3 linked regions of the Drosophila melanogaster genome follow. The protein of the gene in region 3 purifies or fractionates together with the protein of the main gene of each other region. This does not show direct contact. Each region holds a gene or a part of one and is shown on either strand. Other genes may lie near its edges.

The links. The genes of interacting proteins can lie anywhere in the genome.
Region 1: the proteins of Cdc42 (region 3) and RhoGEF2 purify together in Drosophila melanogaster (affinity purification with western blotting, with the first as the bait; one study listed by BioGRID). This does not show direct contact.
Region 2: the proteins of Cdc42 (region 3) and Whamy purify together in Drosophila melanogaster (affinity purification with western blotting, with the first as the bait; 2 studies listed by BioGRID). This does not show direct contact.

Annotation. Positions count from the first base shown.
Region 1 is NT_033778.4:17,024,483-17,030,473, reverse strand, and holds the start of RhoGEF2 (Rho guanine nucleotide exchange factor 2), read right to left. Parts: upstream 3,285-5,991; 5' UTR 3,135-3,284; intron 1,802-3,134; 5' UTR 1,479-1,801; coding exon 1,453-1,478; intron 1-1,452. Other genes in the region: Dark (Death-associated APAF1-related killer), read right to left, coding at 4,046-4,729, 4,794-4,940, 4,996-5,115, 5,183-5,991.
Region 2 is NT_033777.3:9,771,011-9,776,898, forward strand, and holds Whamy (WHAMM and JMY related), read right to left. Parts: upstream 3,410-5,888; 5' UTR 3,310-3,409; exon of another isoform or gene 3,301-3,309; intron 2,969-3,300; 5' UTR 2,965-2,968; coding exon 2,191-2,964; intron 2,140-2,190; coding exon 1,186-2,139; intron 1,128-1,185; coding exon 963-1,127; 3' UTR 785-962; downstream 1-784. Other genes in the region: CG9471 (uncharacterized protein), read right to left, coding at 1-230, 286-358; topi (matotopetli), read left to right, coding at 4,274-4,643, 4,703-5,675, 5,736-5,888.
Region 3 is NC_004354.4:19,695,265-19,701,627, forward strand, and holds Cdc42 (cell division cycle 42), read left to right. Parts: upstream 1-1,826; 5' UTR 1,827-1,888; exon of another isoform or gene 1,889-1,961; intron 1,962-2,670; 5' UTR 2,671-2,693; coding exon 2,694-2,981; intron 2,982-3,042; coding exon 3,043-3,330; 3' UTR 3,331-4,674; downstream 4,675-6,363. Other genes in the region: Tcs4 (Threonyl-carbamoyl synthesis 4), read right to left, coding at 5,180-6,224, 6,280-6,363. UniProt on the Drosophila melanogaster protein: Regulates mbt kinase activity and is also required to recruit mbt to adherens junctions. Together with mbt and Frl, regulates photoreceptor cell morphogenesis. Together with Frl, has a role in the neuronal development of mushroom bodies.

The DNA of each region.
Region 1 (5,991 bases), on a different chromosome or scaffold from region 3:
CAAAGCCAAAGCCAAGCGATTTGTCGTCGCTGGTGGGTCTCTTTTAATTGAGCTAAAATTAAATCAGCCAGAAGAATAGATACACTTTAATTGCCGTTTATTTGATCATTTTGCATGTGAATGGAATGGATAAACATACATATGTACATATGTATGTCCCAGTATACAGTGTGTACCACCTTCGGACCCGTTCATATACCGGAATATAATAAAAGCTCATTTCCCGCCTGGTGAATTCATCATTATGATGAGTTATTTCCATAACAGCCGGGCGGGCAGGCAAGACCTCCAAAAATCAAATGTTTACATTAACTTTTTTGACTGATTGGCCCATGTCAATAGCATGTCTCTCCGTTTGATCCAAGTGAATTCTCTTTCTGTCTAAATTTAGCTGCCTAATTTTGAGGAAATCTTGCTGCAGCCCGTTGACGGGCTGGCATAAAACCTGTTAAGGCCCACAAATCAGACGACAACACCAGTGGTGGTGAGCTGTTAATAGATTTAAATCATTTTGCATAGGTATATTATACAATTCGTGGTTAAGACACCACCACCAAATGCACACACAAGCATGCTTAGAAAGTCACTGGTTTCGCCAATCTATTTGGGCTAAAACTTCCCTAGGTGGCAATAAAAGAAATAAATGGTAAAATGTGAAAACTGGCCGCTCCCTAAGTTGGTGAGCGTATATATGTATTAAGTCATCCGTTTGGCAGTCGAAACCGCACAAAAACAACCCCAAGCTTGGGGGAACTATTGGTATAAACAATCAGCAAACACAGTGCGTTTCAGAACTGTGAGACGGCGCAAAGTTTCACCTCGTCAATTGGCTATTTTCAAACAACGTTTGCTGACTAATCACGGGTCAAATGAATTAGTAATTGCTTACAAAAGTTGATCGGTGATCTAATGCACAGTTAAATCATCTGTAACTGGCTTAAGAACTATTTAAAATGTAGTAAAATACCTATTATTTTAATATAATTTCGAGGATTCTTAAAGGCTGCTACACTATTTAGGCAACGATCTTACATAAGTTGCTAGTTCTTAAGGGTAGCCCTAATATGTTAATATAAGCACTTAGGTCAAGAATGTGTGAAAGCTTCTTTTATGAGTAAAAATTCTTCCGATTTGATATAATAAGAGCTTTAACTTTTTGTGTGACTAATATCTTCTTCTTCTTCGAGATTTCATTAAAATTATTCAATTCCCACAACCAGTTGACACTGCCTTTGAAATTTGCATTAAACCTGCCTCTATGATGTATATTTGGTATATTTATTAGTATGTGTATAATCGACTGTTGCTTGCGAATAAGAACGAAAATAACAATTATTAAGTCTGTCGAGGACAAAAGATAAATTCTTATCGCAATGCGAGCAATTTAACCAGTGGGAAAGTGGAAAGTGGGGAAATTGTAGCGCATGGAGACAGTGGAGCAGTTGAACTCACCGTTTTTTGATTGATGGGTCATCCATAGGGTTTCCTGCGATGGCTTTTGCTGGCTGCTGTGCGGGTGCGAAGATGCAAATTCAAAGGCATGCGTAAGCCACTCGAAGTCGGAGGATCCCGTGGAGTATTGTTCGCATTGGTGTGGGGCCAGTCACCAGAAGTGGTTGCGGAATGCTTTCGGCAGCTATTTTTAAATTAGCTAGTAAAAACGGGCCGAAATGAATCCAGAAGTGATTTAATTGCCTCGATTTTCGTTGCTTTAGTTCTGTTTTATGATTTTTTGGTTGCACTATTCCAATGGGTTTTGATATGTGTATATATATTTTGCACTGCTACTTTTCACTTAAACCTGTGGGCACACAAAATTCGTTTGAAGACATTTCGGGCATTAATGCATGTACATTAAAATATTTGTTTGCATTTTTTTTTTTTTTTTTTGAGTGGGTGGTGAAGGGTTATGGGGGATGGGGCGGATCGGAGAGGGTTCAAATGCAGGCAGCAATCTCCTTGCAATTTCATTGTTTTTATTCCAACACAGATAACTGAACAGCACACCCACACACTCACGCGCAAGCCATACATATTCCAATGCCTATGGCTCTCTCGCCGCGCTCGTTCTCTCTCACTCTCTCTCGTAATCTCTTGCTTTCTCTGTCACTCGCAGGCAGCAGTTGTTGCTGGTTTTATTGTTGTGCTTTTTGCTGACTAGTTTTCACGAAACATTTAATGGATGACGACTTGGGGTTGGGGGAAAACAAGTTTTTGGCCGAAAAATTGAAATACTAATGCTATACTAATGGGTCAGAGCGGACACACAAGCAGGAAAATTCCAGCGATCCTTTCCAGATTTGCGTATTTTCCATTAGAACAGCTGATTGTTCAATTAATCGCTTGTGTTCAATTAGCGTGACGAAAACCCAAAAAGAAAAACAAAGACTCCCTCTCTTTCTTTGAATTTGCACTGATCTCACTGTTTGTTTACCTAAATAAATCAATTCTTGCAGTTTCACTCCTTTTTAATTAAACGCAAATATTTAATTGAATAAATATGTATACACACAAACTGGACTGACTGACTGACTGAGTGTGTGTGGGGGTGCGAGTGCGATCATCGCCGCAAACGCAAAGGCAAAACAATATGGCTGCCGCAAGCCACTTGTTAGAGAAAAACAAGGGATTCGAAGCCTCGGAAAGCGTCCAGTTGTTTATCATTTACTCATTAATTCGATCGCTTCCCGCTCCGTCAAGCCGCACATCCCTAAAATCGAATTAAAGCCATGTACTGCAGTTCAAGAGTTCAGCACTCGACGCACTCACACACGCGCGTCGCTCACTAACACTCACTGCCACCGATGGGCGAGTGTGGAAAATAAATACACATATGCCGTCATACATTCGATGCCCCTATAAGCGCGCTGCGTCTGTCTGCGTGCGATGGGTTAGAGATCATTTTTAGACAAATTTGCGTACAATATTTCCTGGCAGTTGCAAGCTCGCGATTTTGCCATTGACGAGCGTGCACAAATGCACTTAAATATGTATGAATTTTACGCCAGTGTGTGGGTGCGCGGAATGCATGTAGTCACTTTTTTTATTTATTGCTTTTGTTGCTGCAGTGAGCTCACGCGTAGCGAGTTGCGCATCATTCTTTCTCTGCTTCGCCACTTTCGCCACGCACTTACTTAAAACGCACTCGTATTGTATTCCATAAAGACACGAAAAATGTTTTTATTTTTTTCACTTATCGCGCCATCAACACGCACACGACGTTCTTTTCTTTTCAGCTTGAAAATTGGAATGAAATGACGAGAAAGAGCGCATATCTGCCAGTGTTGAAAAGGGCTTTAGTTCGGTACGGAATTCAGTACCTAAAACTGGTACAAACAAGGTACCTTGCCGATGATACAAGTTAGCTATTGGTTTTTATTCATTGTTTTAAATGCTTCTTAATATATTTCGTACGTGTGTTCATTAAGGCAATGTGTGTAAATCTTAGCTTATAAAAATTATAGCCCAAACTTGACTTGAACTTTTTAATAAAACCAAAATGCAAACATTGAGGCCAAAGCCTTTTTATTAATTTAAGTCAGCTTAGAAGTAGACGAGCCACAATCCAGATACGTACCTATTTATTGGACCGCAACACTGATATCCATACACGAACTTAGCAGCACTGTCCCGGGACCAATGCTTTTGCAACACTTGATCTGGCGTGCCTGGCAGAAATCAAAACAAACGCACAGCACAACCACCCACACAGACATGCATGCATACATACATACGGACAGCACAAAGAGCAGACAACAAAACCGCGTTCTGTGTTTTTCGTGAAATGTCGTTTATTTGGTGGCGGTTACTCGCGTTGACAAACAAAGGCAGGGCAACGCACCCACCGCCCTCTGAGATATCATACTTGGTTAGCTGCATACATTCGCAAATGTAAGCGCCAACAACTAATGTTTGCCTAGGACAAATCCGGACCCAGGAGGTAGAAGAGCAAAACCATCAGGTAGTAGAGCAGTAATCCTATAAATGCCATGTTGTAGTTTGGACTTTCCTGTTTCGTGCGCCGCCTAGGGACGCACTTCTGGCGTCATGAACTGGCCTCCTCCAGAATTGGTGTCGCCCTCGCCACTCCGCCGTTCTTCTCCAGAACCAGGTTGCCAACTACATCAGCACCCTCGCTATCCGAATCCTGCATAAGTGGGCTGTCGAGAATTCGAAGATTTTTTAAGTCTTCATACTGATTGGCAATATCCAACGTAACTGGGTCAGGTGGAGGTTGAAGTCTGCTTAACTCCAGCAACTGCAGATGGTAGTAGACACCCTCGTCATCTATGGCATAAAAGTGGGAGAAGTGGGCGTCTGTGAAGAACTGACGAGCTTCATTTCCCACAAATTTAACGCAGGCCAGGAGTTCCGGACGGATGGCATTGCCGCGCTTATTCCGCCACAGTTCCGCAGTCCCTCGGTTCACCGGATGAAACTCGTCGGCAACGAATGTCACATCTACATCGATGTCCGCTGCAATGGGCGCCGCATCCACAGCATCCTCTTGTGTAACACTGTGCTGCTTATGGCGTCGACTGCGCCGCCGTTTTTGCTCGCGCTCCAATTGATTGTTGCGCATGTGCGTCACATTCCAGAAGCACAGCTGCTCCGCGCAGCTGATCAGGAGCAACTTACATGGCGAGAATAGCAATTGCCGGATGCAGTGCTCGTGGACCTCTTCAATGCTGTAGATCAGTTGAACTTTTCTGTTTTCAACGGCAAAGAGCTGTTGGGAAATGTATAATTAGCAGGAAATAATTATGAAACGAATTTGTAAGACGTATGTATACCTCTAAAGTGCCATTTTCGAAACCCATAGCCAACATGGTACCATCATCCGTGGCTACCAAATAGCTGATCTTGGCCTTCTGGGCGATCTCTTCTTCGCAAATCTGTTCGTACCTTAGTTGGTTACAGCTGAATATTAAACGGAATACCTGTCGTTGGAAATAATTGATAATTGTTTAATGATATTATGTTTAGCAAACCCACATCGATGATGTTGTTTTCGTAGGCCAGAAAGAGAAGACTGTTCTTTAGATCAAAGCCGACAATGTATTCCTCCGAATCCTTTGGTTTCACGAATGCAGATGGGTTAGCTATATCCAGATGCTGTTGGTAAATATTGAAATCAAATACTGCACTTTTACTCGCATAAACTTCAATTAAGAACACTCACACAGACTCCGTGGTCGGAAAACAAAATGATATACTGTCCTTCCTGCAAGGACGCGTACTTGGTACTAACATCCATCATCAATGGCCACTGGTCATTGGGTTGCAGCGGATCTATCTTTTCCAGCTGGAATATCACAGTCTTCTGGGCACTGTGTGCCGACGCCACCAGAATGTTGGGACTGACCTGTTTGAGGTAATCAATGGGCTCCTCTATAAACTGCTGAGGTAGCGCTGTATCATGAATAACATCTATTATCACTCCGTCCACATAGCCAACGAAAATCTGTTCGTCGTTAAAGGCGGATATGGCATTTATCTTACAGTTACTGGCAGCATGAGTGGGTGTGATTGTGGACCATTCGGAAATTCTAGAAATGGCCGGTTTAATTAGGTGAATGCGCTCCTTGGAGTCCACAGCCAGAAGTTGCGTCCGCTCTCTGGTCATGTCCATCAGAGAACGCAGATAGACATTAGGCTCCAAGCAAGCCTTTGTCATCACGCTTATCTCATCTGCACTGTGAACCCAGGCGATTTCCCTGTTTTGATGTGAATTCGAGCCGCTTACAGAGCGCAATGTGTGCACATGGACCACCTGTTTTCCCTTAGCGCCGCACAAAACAATGTACTTATAGACAGGATCAAACAGCTCGTATATATCCACACACTCTATATGTTCGCTGACATTGCTGCGTAGCACGGGATCAGAGATTTTCAGATCATACACAATAAGTCCCTCGGACGTGCCCAGCAGTAGGTAACGTCCGTCAGTCGAACGCTTTCCGCAGGTGATGAAACTTCCTTCTGGCAGTT
Region 2 (5,888 bases), on a different chromosome or scaffold from region 3:
CAGTTTGGCCTCTTTCATGGCCTTGATGAGGTTCTCGGTGCCGCGGGATAGCTCCGTGGTAGCCTCCAGCTTGTTGCGGGTGCCCAGGATGACGGCTACCGCATCCACGCCCTCGATAACGCGCTGGACATCCTCGTAGTTGGTCACGTCTCCCTTGACCAATTCAACCTTGGACTTGAAGCGTTCTGGAACTGTCTTTTCGCTGCGGTATAGCAATTTCACCGACAGACCTGAAAGGAAGAATACGGTTTAACTGGCGTTTCCGGGTCTTAAGGTGTCACCTACCCTTCTGCAGGGCGTGATCCACGGCACACTCGCCGGTCATGCCGGTTCCTCCAATAATAGCAATGCGTTGCATAATTCGGATGATTCTTTAATTCCCGTCGATTGAAATGCGTTTAGTCCAGTTGTTGGTTTGCAAAAGTGCAGTCTCACCTGTGCTCCAGGCGCAACTTATCTATCAAATTTCCAATTCACAAGTGAATCCAGCGCGATTGCCTCGCATTCTCACCTCACCCGTAGCAATGAATGTACAGTGCTCTTTCTAAATAGTGAACGCTCACTGATCTGAAGCTTCTGTAGAAGGTAACAAGATATTTAACATTCATTTGTATTTTTATTAAGCTACGAATTATTGCTTTAAAAATATCGTGTTATTTTTGTCTCTATGCAAATAATCTTATTTTGTTTATTGGTTCATTGCTTCTAGTTAGCACTGTACTGGCAAAACAATATGAATTTTTATATAGATTACTGTCAGGCATAATGATAAGGTATATCATATCTGGCGATAACAATTTTATTTACAAACGCTAATGGTCATTTGTCATGGTGATTAATATTAAAATTATAAATACATTTGCGAAAATTAAAATTAAGGCGGTTGTTCTCAGTCTGGCAGCCCTGCCACTTGGTTCAGTGTGGTAAAATGCGGCGCAGTTGAAAGTTTAACCGCCAAATCGTTACGCCTGCGACTCCGATTCCTCGGAATACGGATTATCCGCCGGATTCTTGACCCGTCTCAGTGTTATTCCCAGCTTCAGTTCACTTAGAAAGTCGGTGGTCACCGGCTTACGTTCTGGACGCGGCTTAATGCCACTTATGGTGGCTGCCTTCTGATCCACTTTCTGCAAGAATCGAAGAAGGATTAGATTTCCAATTTAAATGGGTGTCTACTTTTAATACCTTCAGCTTTACGCCTTGTCGAATGCTCTCCAAGAACGCATCCCTCGGGTCTCCGCCGGTGGAGGCAGCTGAAACAGCCTTGGGCTGTGATTTCTGCATCGGAGGCGGTGGTGGAACGCCGGCCATGCCACTTGATGGAGGCGGTGGTGGAGGAGGAGCGCCTCCCGCGCCAAAAACTGGCATTGGTGGCGGTGCTGGTGGAACACCTGCTGGTGGCGCTGGAGGCGGCGGTGGAACACCAACGGATGCCGCTGTAGGCGGCGGTGGTGAAACTGGCACCGGAGTACTACTAATCTGGGTTTTCTGCGCTGACAGTGGTGTCATATAGACAGCCGAAGATCTAGAAGTCGGCTTGGCAGGAGCAGCTGGTGGCGCCGGCTTGGCAACAGGCGCGTACTGCACCGGGGACACAGCATACAGTGATCCGTTGGAAATCGTCGAGTTCGTATGAGGCACTATTGTTGGCTTTGGAGGCGCCGGCGGTGGAACGCGCATTGAGCCCACTTTCCGTTGCGGTGATATGGTGGCGTACGTCTCATTCGCTACCTTTGGCGCCACAGATGGCCTCACTTGACGAATGTCAATGGCCGCTGGATATCCATGTGTGTTCTTCGCCATTACCGCCGATGGAGGTGGAGGAACCTTAGGTTTCACACTCTGCTGAGGCTGCACTTGGACGGGTATCACACTTCCGACCTCTGCCGGTTGAAAAGGAGTTGGTGCAGCCGGCGTAGGAGCAGGTAAGTCCATATCGGAGATATCCACAAACCGTGAAGTAAGCGAGGCGTAGTTGGAGAAGTTTGGTGCCTCCGTTGGCCTCGAAATAGTGGCTATTGGAGGCGGCGGTGGAGACGGCGGAGGAGTAATCTGGTTATTAGTGGAAATGGTGGCATAGAGCAGCGGCCTGGCATGATCTTGAACTTTTGGCTGCGCCTGAAGATCACTTTTTGGTGGCTTAAAAGGCAAATGTTATATTAACAGCTTCCAGTTAATTTCAAGACCTACCATCCAAGTAAAATTGGAGTGAATGATCTTCTTGATCACTTCTTGGCGCCGCATGTCACTAATGTCCGCCTCCGTAATGCCACGCTCCATCATGTACTTCCTCAGCACCTTGTCGTTGGGATCGGCATTCAGGTCGAAGGCGTTTCGCGTGCGATCCCGCGTCACATCGCCGGAAACGTGCTGGAAGTTGACTGGTCCGCTAATCTCGTACTTGGAGCCCTTGCTGCTGACCAAGACGCTGGTGGCGAAGCTGGGACCCGCCAAGGCCACAGAGGGCGGAGCGCCCAGATACCTGTCCAGGCTGTTCGAGGAGGAGGAGCTCTTCATGCCGTCTAGACTGGCGTTGATGCTCACGTTGTCGGCGTAGTGAGGCGGTGGACGAACTGCTGGCGGTGGATGTGCAAAGACGTCGCTGCTCACTTGCATAGACGGTGGCTGAAAGGAGAAGAAAACGGCTGCGTTCAGGACAACTGTGGACAACATCAAGGACACTTTCGGCTGATGAAGCTGGCAAGATGAGATGCTGCAGGATATTACCACCCAGTAACCGGGTTCCTTATTGCTTCTAATTATGTCATAGACATAGGCGCGCCGCACAATAGCCGGCAGACGTTCAAGATCATCGGACAAATTTGCCTTGCGCAGGTACAACTGAAGCATTTCGTCGGTGCCCTGGCCTCGCAGATCGAATGTCTTGCGGAAGTCAATCGCATTGCCCTCCAGCTGGCGGAACTCCACGGGCTCGGAGATGTAGGCGTATGTGTAATCCTCCATCGAACTGGAAAAACGGATACGTAGTTGGTAGCTGCGTTATTACGGCTGCAAAGGAGGTGCCGCCCATTGGCATTGTCTTGGATCTCTCCCCGTTGCCGCCGTGCGTCCACTGGGCCCAGCGGCATTATCTAGTAGCCAATTTGCAGATAAGAACTGCTGGCGCAACTTGGCGTTTTATCAATTTCGGATTCGGATCGCGGTGGGCCTTCACGGACGTGACTCATCGACGGTCCCAGTCACCAGTTAAACAGGCTAATAATTATTACGAAAGCCCATTGAAACGAGATGGTGGTCTAGAACGACAGTAGGCAGCGGCGATGAGCAAGGATCAATTACCGTGCGCACCTGGAAACGCTGTTTGCAGGGATTCTGCAAATGCTGAACCGGATCAGCTCGGCTCGGGTCGGCTGGTGTGTTTGAATGGCACGGAGAACCTTGTGGGACTGATTAACAACGTCGGTGTGCCATGTTAGGCACTGCGTTTACTCATTTCGCGAGGCGTCTTATCTGTAACCGAAGTGCTGAATGCAGATAACTGGCGGCCAGTAATCACCTGGGCCAACTACGACGACTCCGACTCTGACAGCCTGAGCCAAAGGAAAACATAAACAAATGGCGTTAACTACACTTTGCGGTCTACGATATGCGCCTTGGCTGTCAGAAGTCTGCAAAATGTTGGGTAAGTCCAAAATTTAAAAATTAGCTAATGACTAATGTGTTGTAGAAGCGGAAACGGCTTTATAAATCATTTTATTTTTAAAGATGAATGCATATGCAGGGACTTAAAAACACAGTTTCAAAATGTATAACTACGAACCCATTGGTTTGAGTTTCTCATTATTGAGATGTACTTTAAATCTTATGTGATATTAGAAATTAAAATTCAAAGCAATTTAAAGACTACATTTATATTATACATATATATTTTACGATATACGTATTTATAATATTCAGTTGATTCTCAGGTCATTTAAGTTATAAACATATCGGTAAGTTGTCAGATGTTTTACTTTAGCAAACATTTTAGTATTGCCGTCTTTGTTAGAAACCCTTTAGAGTTGTCCAATGCCTTGGAGCCAACTGTCAGTTGAGCCAATTTTCCAGCGACGGAGAAAGCAAATCTCATATCCCTACTTATCAGCAGTACAAACGTTTCGTTAAAATTTCCGAACAAATTATTCCTGCGATAGAAACTGTACAAATTTGAACTTTTTTCGAATTCGGCCAACTGCCATTGAGTTTTAAAAACTTTGAATCGCTTTTGAGAGAGAGCAATTTTCTGCGAAAGATACGCGATCGGACTAGCGCCATGAAAGTCAAAGTTTCGGGTGAATATACGCTGGCCGAGATCGAAGTCGAGTTGGACCAGCAGTTGACGCCAGACGACCTGCAACCCGGAGCCACAGTGCTGGCCACCAACGAGAGTACTGGCGGCTTAGAGCGGATTGTCAGCCATGAGGAGCTGTCCAGATTCTTCGCCGTGGGGCCAGCGGGCGCCTTACCAATGCCCACGGATGTTGTAGTGGAGCGAACATTGGCGGATCCGGCTTTCAAGCAAATCCTGCAGGAGGCCGACGGAAAGAAAGGCTTCGATCCCCAGGCGGAGCAAATGAAGATTCGCGACTTTTTGGCCGGCGTCACCAGCAGCAAGATGACCACTGAGCAATCGGTCTTTCATGGTATACGAATAGATTCACTTGCATGGATAAGTTTTTATAGTATTGCCTACATTATTTAGGATCTCGTTCCAATTCCTCTGCGTCCACTGTCAACCGTATAAAGTGTCCAACATGTTTGGTCCAGTTCGATGCCGTGGCCTTTCAAAATCATTCCTGTGAAGCGAAGCCGATCGAGGTGGCGGTGCCTCAGCAGGAGAAGCCACATCTTGTGCCTACTGTATCTGCTCCTCCGGCTCCGCTAAGCAAACCGGCTAGCGAGCGGGTAATTCGGGAGAACCAAGTGCGTCTGCGCCGTTACATCAAAGATGAGATGAAGTACGATCTGGCCACAGGCATCGAAAGCTCGCGCAAAAACGCGGCCAAGGGTCCCAACGAGTGCACCATGTGCGACCGCAAATTTGTCCACGCCTCTGGGCTGGTGCGCCACATGGAGAAGCATGCCCTGGACTTGATCCCTTCGCAAACCAGCGAGCAACCACATACGATTCCGGCTGCCGGACTGCATGTGGTGGTTAAGTGCAACTCGTGTGGCCGCATCTTCTATGATCCGCAGGTGGCTTTTAGACACGGCCTTATTCACGATTCGGAGCATTCAACGATGCGTCAAAGTCCAATGACCCAAGTACCCTCCAATAGAGCAGATTTCAATGAGCTGCTGCTGGATGGCGAGATGCTGATAGACAACGATCCCGCATTTGCAACGAGCAATCAAAACACAAACCCACCGAAGAAGGAAATGTTTAGCAGCCTGATCTTGGGAAGTGTTTTGCAGTGCGAGTTTTGCGAGTACATTTTCGCTGACATAGCCGAGCTGCTTGTCCATTCCGCTTCCCATGTGGCGGAGCGGCGCTTTGAGTGCACCGCCTGCGACATTCAGATGAACACGGCCAAGGAAGCCAGCATCCACTTCCAGACGGACTGCATTTTCATGCGCGAAGCAATCAGGTCCCTAAATGTCACGCTTAGTCGCTACTTTGTGTGTAATGTGTGCGAGCTGAAGTTTGCCAACACGGACCTGCTCCAGGAGCATCGGTAAGCTATTGGTTAGCCATTGAAAGTATGATTACTTCGATTCTCTATTCTCTGTACTAGGTGTACCTCCTTTCACTACTTTCCTCGCCTCAACGAGAATGGCAAGAAGCTCCTGCTGCCCTGTGACTTTTGCGACGTCAACTTTGAGTTCGCCCACGATTTTCTGGCGCACAGCGAGGAGAAGCATCTCAACAAAAAGAAGCGCGAAAAGGA
Region 3 (6,363 bases):
AGCGCCAAGTGAGAATATTTTATACCCAACAATTACTTCACGATGACACGATGAATACAGCTGCGGTTAAAATAATAACACTACTGCAGGTGGAAAGTTGATTTACCAAAAAAAATAATTAAATGTTTTATTTTTTTAAGTCAGATTGCATGAATAATAAGAACCATATGTTGTCTCTCTGAGCAAGAAATTTTTACTCTCTCAATGTAACGGTTCTTTTTGTTTTTGGGCACTTGCTGTGGTAACAAAAATAGCACCGATCACGTATTTGCTGAATACAATTAATAGGAGTGATTGCTTTGGGTTTTTTTTTCGACAAATTTTGAAAAAAGGAGTTGCAATAAAGGTTTTAATTGAATTTTTTCCAAACGAAGACAAAAAATTCTCTAGTCATGGGTCGCGGAAAGCATTGTACCGTCGAAAAAAGAAATTTGATTAAAAACATGATTTCTGAACGTAAAACCTACGCTGAAATTGGTCGCATTGTCGGTTGTTCAAACAAAATGATCCGCAAAGCACTGCTGTTTGTCGAAAAGAAGGAAACACGGCGAAGAGAGCCCTCAATGTCCAACGTGGAGATCAAGCGCTTGGTTTGGCAAAGCAAGAAGGAGTCTTTTAAGCCGGCGACGGAACTGAAGAAGGAGCTTCAGATAGCTGCAAGCGTGGAAACAGTTCGCAAACGCTTAAGACAAAACAACCTTAATGCGTGCAGCCCCAAAAAAGTACCGCTTTTGACTGTGAAGCATGTGGCAAAGCGAATCGAATATGCCAAGATACACAAGGACTGGCCTATGGAGAAGTGGTGCAACATTTTGTGGTCAGATGAGATCAAAATTGTGTTGTTTGGTGGGAAAGGCTCTCGGTCTTATGTTCGGCGTCCACCACGACGTCCACCACTAAATATAATCCTCGCTTCACCTTTAAGTCGGTAAAAAACGGGGGATCAAGCATCATGGTATGGGCGTGCTTTTCATGGTATGGAGTAGTTCCAATCCATTGGATTCAAAGCATCATGGATCAGCACATTTACTGTCATATGCCGAGGATGAAATGCCGTTGGTTTGGACATTTCAACAGGATAACGACCCAAAACACACGAGCAAGAAAGCTCAAAGTGGTTTGAGCAGAAGTAGATCCGAGTAATGAAATGGCCTGCTCAGTCACCCGACTTGAATCCAATCGAAAACCTTTGGGCGGACGTGAAAAAAGGGTTTCTGAAGCCAGACCCAATAATAACGAGGAATTTTGGGGTGTGGTCAAGGATTCAGGAAGCAAAATTCCTCAAAAACAGTGCCAGGACTTGGTGGAGTCCATGCCAAGACGATGTCCAGCTGTCATTACCAGCATAGGTCACGCAACCAAATATTAAGATTCTTTAAACATAGTTTTTAAGATATAATCCGTTTGTTTAAATTTTTTTAAAAATTTTTTAAAAAATTTTTTTATTTAGTTTTGGCAAACTACAAGAAACAGTGCTATTTTTGTTACCGCCTAAATTTGAAGGTTTTTTTTTGTTTTACCAATTATTTTATCCATTAGATCTGTTACTAATTTTTTTATTTCGATTGAAAATCATTGTAGTATTTAAGTTTAGTGAGTAAAATGATGAAAAAGTGTCAGAAAATACAGAAACACTGGGACAAACACGAAATCCGCTTATTATTGTTACCGCAACTGTATGCAGTATATTGGTCCCGCTCTGCCCGATCGGTCGGATATATAGCCCTTACAGTGACAGAGAACTTCCACCGAAAATACCAACATACCGATTGCGATGCAAGCCGGGTGGGAGTACTGCGACGGGATGGCAACGCCGCGCTAGTCACTCGCACGCAAAGAGCTCGCTGGAGAGAGAGAACGCTAACACAAAAGGAAATAGTAGTTTTCCGTACGTATCGAGCCCAGCCCAGAAAAGCGGAAAACTAAACGGATTCGACAGCGGTTGCAAATTTTAAATAACTGTAAGTAAGGCGGAAAAGGTGCCCGCAACGAGCATCCGCCGTATAGATCGCAACGCGTTTCAATTTGCCCAGTGAAAAGTGAATGAAAACCAAATGTCGATGACGGGCCTGCCTGCCTGTGTGTGTGTGTCATATGTGCGTGTGGTCCGTGCCGCAGTGTGCGTGTGTGATAAATAATTGCTTCCAAATTTCTTTAGTTTTTTGTCTGCAAATCTCGTCTAAAATCCGACTATAGCTAAAAACAGGGGGCAGCTCCAGCAGCTGACTGGGCGGCCAGTCCCGTGACCAAATAAACCATCATAAAGCCAGTAATAGTGCAGCAAAAACTGCATTAGACCAAGTGAACACGCACCGCACACACACAACCGCAAGCTGCCGTACTCGCTGCGCCCCTGCGCGCAAGTGTTTGCGTGTATGTGTGTCCAATCAGAATTTTCTGATGCCCGTCCGGCTTATCTGTGTGCGCCGTTGCTTTCCATTCTTTCCGTTCTTTCTTCGGCTTGAGTCATCGCTCATTCTGCCCAGATATGTACATATGTACATTGCACACACACTGCCGCCCCGCTCTCCTGGGCTCCGCTCCTCCTCGTTGATAAGGCGCCGCTGGCGAACGGTCACTCTGGCAGGAGTACGAGCAGGAGCAGGGAAGCCGCACCCACTAGTCATCCCCCCAGTGTAATCCGGCAAACTAACCCCCACTAATCCGCAGGAGTCATCACCCCTCTGCACAACATGCAAACCATCAAGTGCGTGGTCGTCGGCGACGGAGCCGTGGGTAAGACATGCCTGCTCATCTCGTATACAACCAACAAGTTCCCGTCGGAGTACGTGCCCACGGTGTTCGACAACTATGCGGTCACTGTGATGATCGGCGGTGAGCCCTACACACTGGGCCTGTTCGATACGGCCGGACAGGAGGACTACGATCGGCTGCGTCCGCTCTCCTATCCGCAGACGGATGTCTTCCTTGTCTGCTTTTCGGTGGTCAGTCCCAGTTCCTTCGAGAACGTCAAGGAGAAGGTACGTACAAGACTATTCTACGCCATGGCGAGACTGTAAGTGAGTCATTTTGCATTTGCAGTGGGTGCCCGAGATTACACACCATTGCCAAAAGACGCCGTTCCTGCTGGTGGGCACACAGATTGATTTGCGCGACGAGAACAGCACGCTGGAGAAGCTGGCCAAGAACAAGCAGAAGCCCATCACCATGGAGCAGGGCGAGAAGCTGGCCAAGGAGCTGAAGGCCGTCAAGTACGTGGAGTGCTCGGCCTTGACACAGAAGGGCCTGAAAAATGTATTCGACGAGGCCATCCTGGCCGCCCTCGAGCCACCAGAGCCCACAAAGAAAAGGAAGTGCAAATTCTTATAATTCTGCTTTCCTCACACGCGGTATCCCTTTCATTCTGGCTTTCTACTATCGCAATGACTCCTTCCCAGCCTCCCGTCGTCGAGAAGCATTCAATATATAGCCGTATATATATATATATAACATATATATATATATATGTATATATATTGGTCTTGATTTACGTTATTCTGCATTAGCCCAGTACTCCATGAGCTATTTCTCCTCGCCGCCATCCGCCTGTGTCCCCACTCCCACTCTACTCTTTTTGTCTCACACACCGTCTGTGTCTCCACTTACGCGCGTCCGCGTATCTGTGTCAGTAGTGTCCGTGCTCCAGCCTCCAGAGCTCTAATCCCTACCCGGTATTTTGGTCGGTTTCTATGTTTGGTCCACTGTGACCAGGCGGCTGGGCAGTTGCCCCCAACTCGGGACAGTCTTCCGCCCCACAAGCTTCAGCTCCAATCCCCGCCAGGATCCAATCGCAGCCAATCGAATCGAAACCCAGCCGACTTCATTTCTGCTCCCAAACATGTTTTTGGCGCAATTTTCGAATTAAGTAAAAAGAGGAACCACAATATCAATATAGCGAAAACAAATGATTTATATATAAATATATATATATATATATGTATATATATATATATTTCTTTATATATATATACAAAGATTAAGGAGAGGCAAAAAAAAAAAAAATATACATTTACGATAAACAAAAAAACAATCCAGAACAGAACAGAATGTGGGGCGATTCGAAAAGAACCATGCACTTATTCGTTTTGCCTCAGTCGATGAAATCCGCGGGAATCCACGTCGATATTGTCCCGAAAGGAGCAACGTGCGAGAATTATATTAAATATTTATGATAACTGATCGCGTAATGTTTAAACAGCGGAGGTCGGATGGAATTCGCTAGCATGCAGATATGAAAGTGAAGCTTATTATGTAATAAAACTAAGCGTATGAGTATTGAAATATGATTAAAAGTAAATTAAATGAACCTAAAGGAGGAGATAAAGGATCAGCAAGAGATGCGAGAACCGAACTAGGCGTTGCAACCACAACACAAACACACATCTGAAATCTACAATCTATATAAAAGTATATACATATATATATATATATTTAAATATGTATAATCCATAAAGTATAACAAACAATAAAACAACGGCAACAGCAACAAACATTTGTATTGTAGTTCAGCAAAAAAACAAAAACGACAAAAGATGAAAGGAAAATAAGAACTAATGCATTTTTTAATATTTTTATATGTACACATTATCAATTTTTACATTTTTTTTCTAGACCTTAGTGATTTAACATTATTGATTTCAGATAATATCTTATAATAAAACGAAATCCAAAACGAAACCACTCACTGTCTTGCCTGAAATGAAAAAAAAAAAGGGAACATCCCACCAAAGATGCACAAGCGAAAATGTACTTTTTATATGTATAAAATTACATAAATTCAATGCAATTGTGATTTTTATATAGCATTTGTGATTCATTTGTGGTTGTTTATTTCTATATCGATTCGCGTGATAAAGACCTGTCGTCATATCAGTTATTACGTTCCTGGAAAAGTGGCCAACAGGTGGAGGCAAAGCTTTTCCATTACTATAAACTATATTTTGATTATCTGGCCATGTCCTATTGTTCGTCAGCATAAACGTCGAGATCTCGGAAGCCACCAGAGCTAGCAAGGTGGCTCTTAGCAAGTAGGAACTCTGCAGCGCCAAAGAACTCACACACTCAAAAATATTATGAATATATTATTAATTTGTAAATCAGACAAACAGGATTCAACAACGAACAAGGATTCATCTGTAACTTTATGTAAGAATGTATAAAACACAACAGGGGCTAGTGATCAAACCAGTGGCTGTATCCACTTGCATTTTATGGCCGCCGCAGCGACAGCTTCCTCGTGCGACTCGGCGAATCCCGCGCTGCCCTGGATATCAATGCTGTCGTAGTCGTAGCGCGTGCTGGCCTCTTTATCCTGCAGCAGTTGCTCAACGCCGTGCCAGGCGATCATGACGCCGTTGTCGGAGCAGTACCGCTTCGATGGACGGAAGCTCCTGCAGCCATACTGCGCGGCCAGATGTTCGATGTTGGCGTATATGGCATCGTTGTTGGCCACACCGCCGGACATGACCAGTGTGGGCGGGGTGTCACCGAAGAGCTGCCTGTGCGGCAGGAGGCAGTACTCAATTGCCCGCTGCGTGCGGTGCATCAGGTGCCGGCTGACAGAGCGCAGCAGGCCGGCGCAGAAGTCGCCGTAGTTGCTGATGACTCCGTCCGGAGGTGTCCGCTCTGCCCGCTCGCGCGCTCGGATGGCCCGGAAGGAGTTGTTCTTGATGCCGGCGAAGCTGAAGTTGCAGTTCCGCTGCTGGGCAAGTGGCAGCGGAAACTCGTAGGCCAGCGGATCGCTGGCCAGCTGGGCGGCATGCTCAATGGCCCGTCCTCCGTTCCACAAGCGGTACTCCGGCAGAATGTGCAGGCGTAGTCGCCGACCGATCTTGTCAAAGGCCTCGCCGGGCGCATCATCCAGTGTTTGGCCAAGAAGCGTAAGGCGACCGGGGCCGTTAGCCACCACCAACTGACAGTGGCCGCCGCTGGCCAGCAAGCAGAGGAAGGGGTAGCCGATCTGCTCCGGATGTTCCATGCGGGCCTGCAGCGCGTGCGCCTCCATGTGGTGAACGGGCAGCAGGGGCTTCTGCAGGCGACGGGCCAGGTGCCGTGCAAAGCGCACGCCCACCAGCAAACTCAGCGGCAGTCCGGGACGCGTGGTCACCGCGATGGCCGTCAGTTGGTCCGGCTTCAATTGCGCCGCCTCCATGCAGCGCTGGTAGGCGGACTCGATGCGGGCGCGGTGAAGGTCCTGGGCCCTGGGCGGAATAATGCCTCCATAGCTGCAATCGATTCAGTTCATCATTGGGCACCGCATGCGGAGATGTGAGCACTCACCGGGTGTGGAACTCCTGTTGCGACTCCAGCACATTGGCAATCACTCGGCCCGTGGTGTCCACGATGGCGATGCCCGTGTCGTCG